2 linked regions of the Mus musculus genome follow. The protein of the gene in region 2 purifies or fractionates together with the protein of the main gene of each other region. This does not show direct contact. Links are inferred from orthologs where the notes say so. Each region holds a gene or a part of one and is shown on either strand. Other genes may lie near its edges.

Region 1 (3,814 bases), on a different chromosome or scaffold from region 2:
TATACCAGATGTACTGGCTAGTTTTGTGCCAACTTGACACAGCTGGAGTTATCACAGAGAAAGGAGCTTCAGTTGAGGAAATGCCTCCATGAGATCAAACTGTAAGGCATTTTCTCAATTAGTGATCAAGGCGGAAAGGCCCCTTGTAGGTGGGACCATCTCTGGGCTGGTAGTCTTGGGTTCTATAAGAAAACAGGCTGAGCAAGCCAGGGGAGGCAAGCCAGTAAAGAACATCCCTCCATAGCCTCTGCATCCCTCCATAGCCTCCTGCTTTCTGACCTGCTTGAGTTCCAGTCCTGACTTCCTTGGTGATGAACAGCAGTATGGAAGTGTAATAAACCCTTTCCTCCCCAACTTGTTTCTTGGTCATGATGTTTGTGCAGGAATAGAAACCCTGACTAAGACACCAGAGATACACATGCTGGCAAAAAGGGTAGTTAGGATCATGAGATTTGGGAACAAGCCAAGCTGGGATTTGAATCAGCTGTGGTCACTTTCCCAGCTATGTAAACTGGAACAGGAGTTTACATCTCTGTGCCTCAGAATGTCACAGGCACACCAATACCCATCTTAAAGAGTTAAATGGACATTACAAATGAGCAGATCTATGCATGATAATGGAGCAGTAATCCTGGCACACTGCAAAGCTGGTACCACCATCACCACTAACCCCTAGGATGAGTGGAAGGTCAGGGACCAGAGTGCTAATAGAGATTAACCTGGGAAGTAGACTGCCAGGCCAGCTTAGCTTCTTCCTCTATCCAGGGAGTCTTTTTCTTATAGTGTGCATTATATAGTCACACACAAAAAAAAAGCACCCTAAAGGAGACAAGACATCTGATGATTTCCAGCATTTGCCACTCTTGAGGGTGGATAGTGAAGGAAGAACAGTGCTGGTCAGAGAGCAAATGGTACCTTTCACACACACACACACACACAAGCTCATGCTACAGTGTGTGTGGAAACAAGGAGACAACTTACGAGATTCTGCTCTCTCCTCCCACTACAAGGATTCTAGGTGATAACATGGGTCAGCATACTTGCTTACAATTACCTCTCCCCACTGATGAATTTCTCTGGCCCTGGTTTTGTGTTCTTCAGATGGGGCTTCCTGTAAGTCAAGCTTGCCTAGAACTCACTACGTAGCCAAGCTGAAGTTCTGATTCTCCTGCCTCAACCTCCAGATGCTGGTGTCAGACCCGGGTCTTCCAACCCAGGCCCAGTGCCTTGGCTCCCAGGCACACAGCCCTTCTCAAGAAGCCTGCTTACTCACGGGGGCAGTTCCTTGGAAGCCATCCTCGCCAGTGTTGCTCACAGGAAACTTGCCCTGCCAGATGTTGGCATAATGCTGTCCTTTGGGCTGCAGTTTGTTGCCCCAGGGGAAAAGCCTGTGAGGAGAGACACAGGCATCAGCATGGTGCACGGGCTTCTGGACCACAGTCAAAAGGAAGGATGCAGTGGGAGAGAACAAACAATGCACGTCTGTCCTGGGTGAACTGTTTCTTTAAAAGATACCCTTGTAAATATAACTTTTAATTGGAACTTTTAGAAATTTTCTTAAAACAACTCATGTCAAGTGTGTAAAACGTCAGTCTCTCCTCAGCACTGAGAAGGCCTGAGATAAATGATATGACTGAAAGAGGCCTTCTAGAGATCGGAGACACAAGGCATCACTCTGGACTTATATGGTAACATGAGCAGGCACTGCGTACCACACTTTGTTTTAAGCCCTGTCTATTTTAAGGAGCTTTTCCTAGAAGATGTGACCCAAACATGAGTTTTCTGTCTCATGGCTGCAGAAGCAGAGAATACCGTGGTTTCAGAAGACAGCCAAAATAAGAAAATGCTAAAAGCAGGGCAGCCTGCCAAGCAGCTCTGAGGAGGGATACATAGGAGCGGGTGTGTGGCCAGCGCTCACTCTGCCACTACAGAGTCCATTTGGTCCCATACCTGGCTTTAGGAACTGTAAAAAGTTTGTGACTCACCCACTAGTGTCACCAAAGCACCTCACAAGGAAGAAGAAAAGCCAGCTGTTATTAATCAACTTCCTGACCACAGCAAGTTCCAGGGAGCCAGGGAGAAGGGAGGAGCAGAGGAAGAAGGTGTAGAAGAGAATGTCAACACACTGCAGGGCAAGGCAAGGCCTTGTGTTTGAGTACCTGTTCTGCAGGCCTCCTCTACAGCTGTATTCCCACTCTGCCTCAGTAGGCAACCTCTTGCCCGCCCATGTGCAGTAGGCAACAGCATCGTTCCAGGAAACATGGAGAACCGGATGATTTGACCTAGAGAGGAACACGCGCAGTTAAAAGAGACAACGGCCTGAACAGAAAGCAGGAGGTAGATTCAGAAAGTGACCACAGTCATGATTTCAAAGCCTAGCTGCGACACACCTGTCCTCTGCAGTGGGGACTTCTGAAGTTTTAGATGCCCAAATGGGTCACAGCCTCTCTGCACTCAAGCATCTCTTCACTTTGTAGCCTTGGAGGCCCACAGATTCCATGGGGATGGCAGGCACAGTGAAGCTCTGCCCCTATTGGCTCAGCTGCGTAGAGTCATCAGCAGAGGCTTCTGGCTCCTTCCGCATTTTGCAAAATGGTTAGGGGCACCTTAGAGCCTCCAGTGACTATCACAGCAGACATGTAAGGCCCACAGAGGCTCAGCTTATAATCTGTACATTCCACAGAGCTCCATGCAAAGTAAACCAGAACTTTGTTGGGCTTACACAGTAGTTTTGGCATCTACTCCCTTACACATCTGTGAGTCCCTAAAAGACATGCCAAACCCTTAGCCTGTTTCCAGACACCTAGCTTTTAACTTTGCATGTTTCTGCTATCCTACTAAGGGTCAGCTAGCACCATCTGCCTCACACTAGCAGCCTTTCCTGAGAGGATGGAGGAAGTCACTGGAGCTGAAATCACCACTCACTTTTAGGTGACCTAGACTGGCCCACCTAACTCCTCATGCAGCTCTGAATTCCTATAGGACATTCATTAATTTACTCCACAAAGGTTCCTGAGTAGCTCTGAGTCTAGGGCATAAATTTAAAAGTATATTCCAGTTTGGGAGTGCAGCTCGGTCATAAAACAGATGGCTATGTGTTCAAGTCTTAGCACCACCAATGAAAATGCAGTCTCCTTTGGGTTTTCCTAACCAACTTTGCACCTGGAAAAGAAGGTAAAATTGAGATCTAGAGAACAAGTCCACCCCAGGTCCTCAAGGATCCTGCAACGTTCTACCTCACCGTCCATTTCTACACAGAGGAAGCCAGTTCAGACCTTAAAAAGTTTTGTATCTATCAAGGGGGTTGTGTCTCTAGAGCTGAAGTTCATATATATATTCCCTGTTCCCTGATTTTAAGGGGAATAACCTTGAATGTAGTTAGAAACAAAGGCCAAAAGCCCTGTCTGAAGAATGGGGTTAGACGAACAGCTTCCTGGCTGTTGGAAGCCAAGTCATAACTGAAACCCCCCTTCGTCCCCAGGGTATAATGTGCATCTCTATTTTTGCTTAAGATAATTACCTCCTTGCCACCCCGGAGACGTACTGCCACTCTGGGTTTTGTTTTGTTTTGTTTTTTGTTTTAGTCAGATTTTGGCTTCTAAGTGTATCAGTCCAGGACTAAAAAGCACATGGCCACCTGATAGGACACAACTAGTATCCATAAGAGTGACAGTCTTCTTTCACATAAAGACACATTCGTGGCTAGACTGTTCTGAGTAAATGTGTCATGACATTTGTGAGAGCCTGTCCAAAGCAAGGCAATCTGTGAGGAGGAACTCTGAAGCCAAATGAAGCAGGAAAGAGTCCGTTTAGT
Region 2 (3,814 bases):
CACGGTGTTTGTGTCTCGGTGCCTAAGATGCAGTGTGCTACTATGAAGTTCTGTGAATGATTATACTATTGTAAAAAGGATTTTCCAACACTAGGGCCCATAACTCTCACTCCCTTCCAAGATGGAGTTGACAGAGGGGCAAAAGGGACAGCCCCTCTCTTTCTAGATTTCTAAGCAGTGCTTCTGTCCCTTGGCAAGTGAAGGAAGGGAAAAGATGGAGCCAGGTGGTTTGCTTGGTGTCACTCAGAGAGAATGAAAGGAGAGAGAGGGGGGAGAGAGAGAGGGAGAGAGAGCGCACACTGTCCCACCCTGTCCTCCTCAGTCACCCTCAGAAAGGAGAGCAGAGCCCAGATAGACCACAGGATCAAACTCACTCCTCTGAGAACAGCATGAACCCTGGCTAAGCATGTACCTCAGGGGGGGAGCATGGAGGCGGAAGCAAGCTCAAGGCCTACTGAATGCTCTCTCCAGGACAAGGTTGGTTGAAGTAGTCAGTGCGGTCTGCCCACTGCCCATGTGGCACCCAGAAACCTGAGCTCCTCTTAGGGTGAAGGGCTTGAAAACATCCACAGGTTCCCGAAACCAGAGGGCTTCGAGCCCCAGACCCTGCTCCTCCATCTGCAGATCTCCAAACTCACCTATCAAAACTTGGGGTTCTGCCATGCCCGAGTTCCCCCTAGAGTCTCCTGAGCCAGGACAGGCAGACATGAGGACAACGGTGTCCTTGGTATGGCAGCAACTAGGGAGTGCGTGCTTGAGTGTCCTCTACAGGAGGCGGGAGTGGCATCCCATATGGTAGAGGGGCCTCCTAGGATGGGTATGTAGAAGGTGCAGCTGTTGGTACTGCCTCCATTGCTCCCTCCCTCCATGTCCAGGTGGGCTGGCAGGTGCCCCGGGGATGGTCAGAGTTCATTGTGAAGCGGTCGGCACTGGGGTGTGAGCTTTTCCTCCAGGACTCCATCTGGGGCGCACACCCAGGGGTCATGTGTCTCCCATTGCCACTTGACAAGCTGAGCTTTCAGCATCTCCAGCACTTGAGCCAAGTCTGGGTCAGCGGCCAGGTTCCGTGTCTCTCGAGGGTCCCGGCTGATGTCGTAGAGTTCCCAGCGTTCCCGGTAGTAGTAACGGTGGAGGTCCTTGTACCAGCCCGTGGGCCGGCCTGTGGTGGTTCGGTTCAGGAGGTCCTGGAAGGTCGGCGAGACATAGAAATCTTGGTCGATGGGAAATGGCATCTTGAAGCTCAGGTTGTGAATGAGGCGGAAGTTCTGGTGGTACACCGAGCGCATCGGGTAGGACATGGTGACCTCGTGGTGGCTCTGGCTGCTGAAGACAGTGGCCCAAAGGGGCTCTGCCTCCAGCGCCGGCAGGAGGGATCGGCCTGTGAGCTGGATCGTCTTTGAGCCAAAGATGGCATAGCTGGGGTACGGGATGGAGAACCAGTCCAGGATGGTAGGGGTGAGGTCTGGAAAGGAACAGGCTCTTAGTGGGGACACGGACAGGCTCTTAGCAGGGGTTCCTGGAAGACATGGAGCCCATTGTAAGGGCTGGATCTGAGTCTCTCGGGAAATCCCATGGGCACTCGTAGGATCGGATCACCTCTGGCCAGTGAGGCTGATAACAGTATAACCAGAGGCCCTGGCTTGCTGATATCCAAGAACCTTCTAAAGTCCTATGGACTAGAGGAACCCTGGGTAGGGAGGGCTCATCCACTCAGTCTGGGTTGGTCACAAGGTTCCCTCACTCATGGGTTAGGGTCACAATGGAGAAGCGAGTCCTGAGCTGGAGGGAGCCTATCTTGTAGCCACTGAGAAGAACACAGGGACTCTTTCCAAGCAGGTGGGCTGGGCACAAACTCAGTCCCTCTGTTTCTCAGCCCCTCTGTTCCTCAGCCCCTTTGTCTGTTTCTCACACCTGCATGTATGCTTGCTCATCTGTGGTATGGGGCCAGATAACCAGGCTCTCAGAGCTGAGTCATGAGAGGCTCCAGATCCTGAGAAAAGGGGAAATGGTTCTCAAGTGGGCAACCCACAGTCCATCGGTCCTGCCTGGGACCCCACCAGACACTCTGGGGGTCGTGACGTGACAAGAACAGACCTCCAGGTGACTCTGGTTCTTACCATGTAATAGAGGGGGCCATCTTGTCCCTACCTAGGTGAAGGAGCACTACCTAGGTTCGGGAGCACTCCTGAACCTAACCCATGGCTGTCCCATTGGACTTCACTTCTCCCTTCCCATGAGACAGCCAGGCAGGCAGGCAGGCAGGCAGGCAGGCAGACAGACAGACAGACAGACAGACAGACAGACAGACTGACCTAGAAGGCTCACGTAGGCGTCGCTGACCTGGCCCCAGCGCTGTGGGTGCTCTGGAGATGACACCAGCAAAGGCTCGGCTGTACCGGGCCAGTACAGGTTGGTCCTGCCGCTGGGGAAAGGGATACCATTGTCAGATGTGAAGATGATGAGGGTGTCGTTCAGCACACCAGCACCTCGCAGCTCCTGGAGCACCAGACCTACCCCTGAGGATGGAGAGGAGGAAGAAGGCTCAGAGGCACATGTGTCCACTTACCCCTGGGCTCTATTACATCCTGGCCCTCACACACCCCTTCAGTCTTTCCTGCAAGCCCAGCCTCTAGCCCAAACCACAAACCTCCTGTACACATGGTACAGGTCACATGGCTTCCAGGGACCTCTCATCCCTTAGAACTCCTGCCATATGAGGCAGCTGGTACTGCCCCAAGCTGGCTTCTGTTTTAGAATCTAGTGTCTATGAAGCAAAGAGACAGCTTGGGTAAGAGCCTAAGATAGGGCACCACTGTTAGAGATCTTCTGGCATTCGGGGATAGCCTGGGCTATCAAGTGAGTTCCAGGCTAACCTGGTCTATAACAAGACCCTGTCTCAAAAAGTCAAAATAAGATGGCAACCAGGCAGACTGAGCAGCAGCTAAACTGCTTGCCATGCAAGAGTCAGGATCACAGAGTCTGGATCCCAGGCACCCACATAATTGCCAGGGTGAGAGAGCTCGCCTGGAATTCCAGCCATGGAAGGCAAAAATGGGGTTCCCAGAGGAAGCTGGCTCCCAAGACAGCAACATCAGCAAGCTCTGGGTTTGACTGACAGACTCAGTCTCAGTAAAGGAGCTAAAAAAGAGACAAAATGACTTCCAATATCAACCTCTGGCCCCCACATGCACACACACATTTGCACACCCATACACGTGTGAAAGTATGCACACACATTTGCACACCCATACACATGTGAAAGAATACACACACATTTGTACACCCATACATGTGTGAAAACATGCAAACACACACACATACACACATGAAAAACAAAGAAAAAACTTAATTAATGAAAATGAAAGCTGGAGCTGGAGAGATGGCTCGTGGTTGAAGAGCACTGGCTGCCCTTCCAGAAGATGCAGGTTTGATTCCCAGCGCCCACATGGTGGCTCACACCCATCTATGATGTCATTCCAGGGGATCTGTTGTCCTTTCTGGCCTCTGTGGGCACTGTGTGTATGTGATGCACTTACATACATGTAGGCAAAACATCCACACAAATAAATTAAATATGAAGGAGAAGGAGAAGAAACAACATTTGGGAGACAGAGGCAGGCAGATCTCTGTGAGTTTGAGACCAGCCTGTTCTACAGAGTGAGTTCCAGGACACCTAGGACTACACAGAGAAACCCTGTCATTAAAAAAAAAGGGGGGGCTGGAGAGACAGCTCAGCAGTTAGGAGCACTGACTGCCCTTTCAGAGGTCCTGAGTTCAATTCCAAACAACCACATGGCAGCTCACAACCATCTGT

Evidence for each region.
Region 1: the proteins of Sgsh (region 2) and Sumf1 purify together in Homo sapiens (co-immunoprecipitation; 3 studies listed by BioGRID and IntAct, with this or other methods). This does not show direct contact. The link is inferred for Mus musculus from reciprocal best matches to the Homo sapiens genes SGSH and SUMF1.

What each region holds. Positions count from the first base shown.
Region 1 is NC_000072.6:108,150,954-108,154,767, forward strand, and holds part of Sumf1 (formylglycine-generating enzyme precursor), read right to left. Parts: intron 2,283-3,814; coding exon 2,160-2,282; intron 1,389-2,159; coding exon 1,274-1,388; intron 1-1,273.
Region 2 is NC_000077.6:119,345,376-119,349,189, forward strand, and holds part of Sgsh (N-sulphoglucosamine sulphohydrolase precursor), read right to left. Parts: intron 2,517-3,814; coding exon 2,313-2,516; intron 1,463-2,312; coding exon 903-1,462; 3' UTR 1-902. UniProt on the Homo sapiens protein: Catalyzes a step in lysosomal heparan sulfate degradation.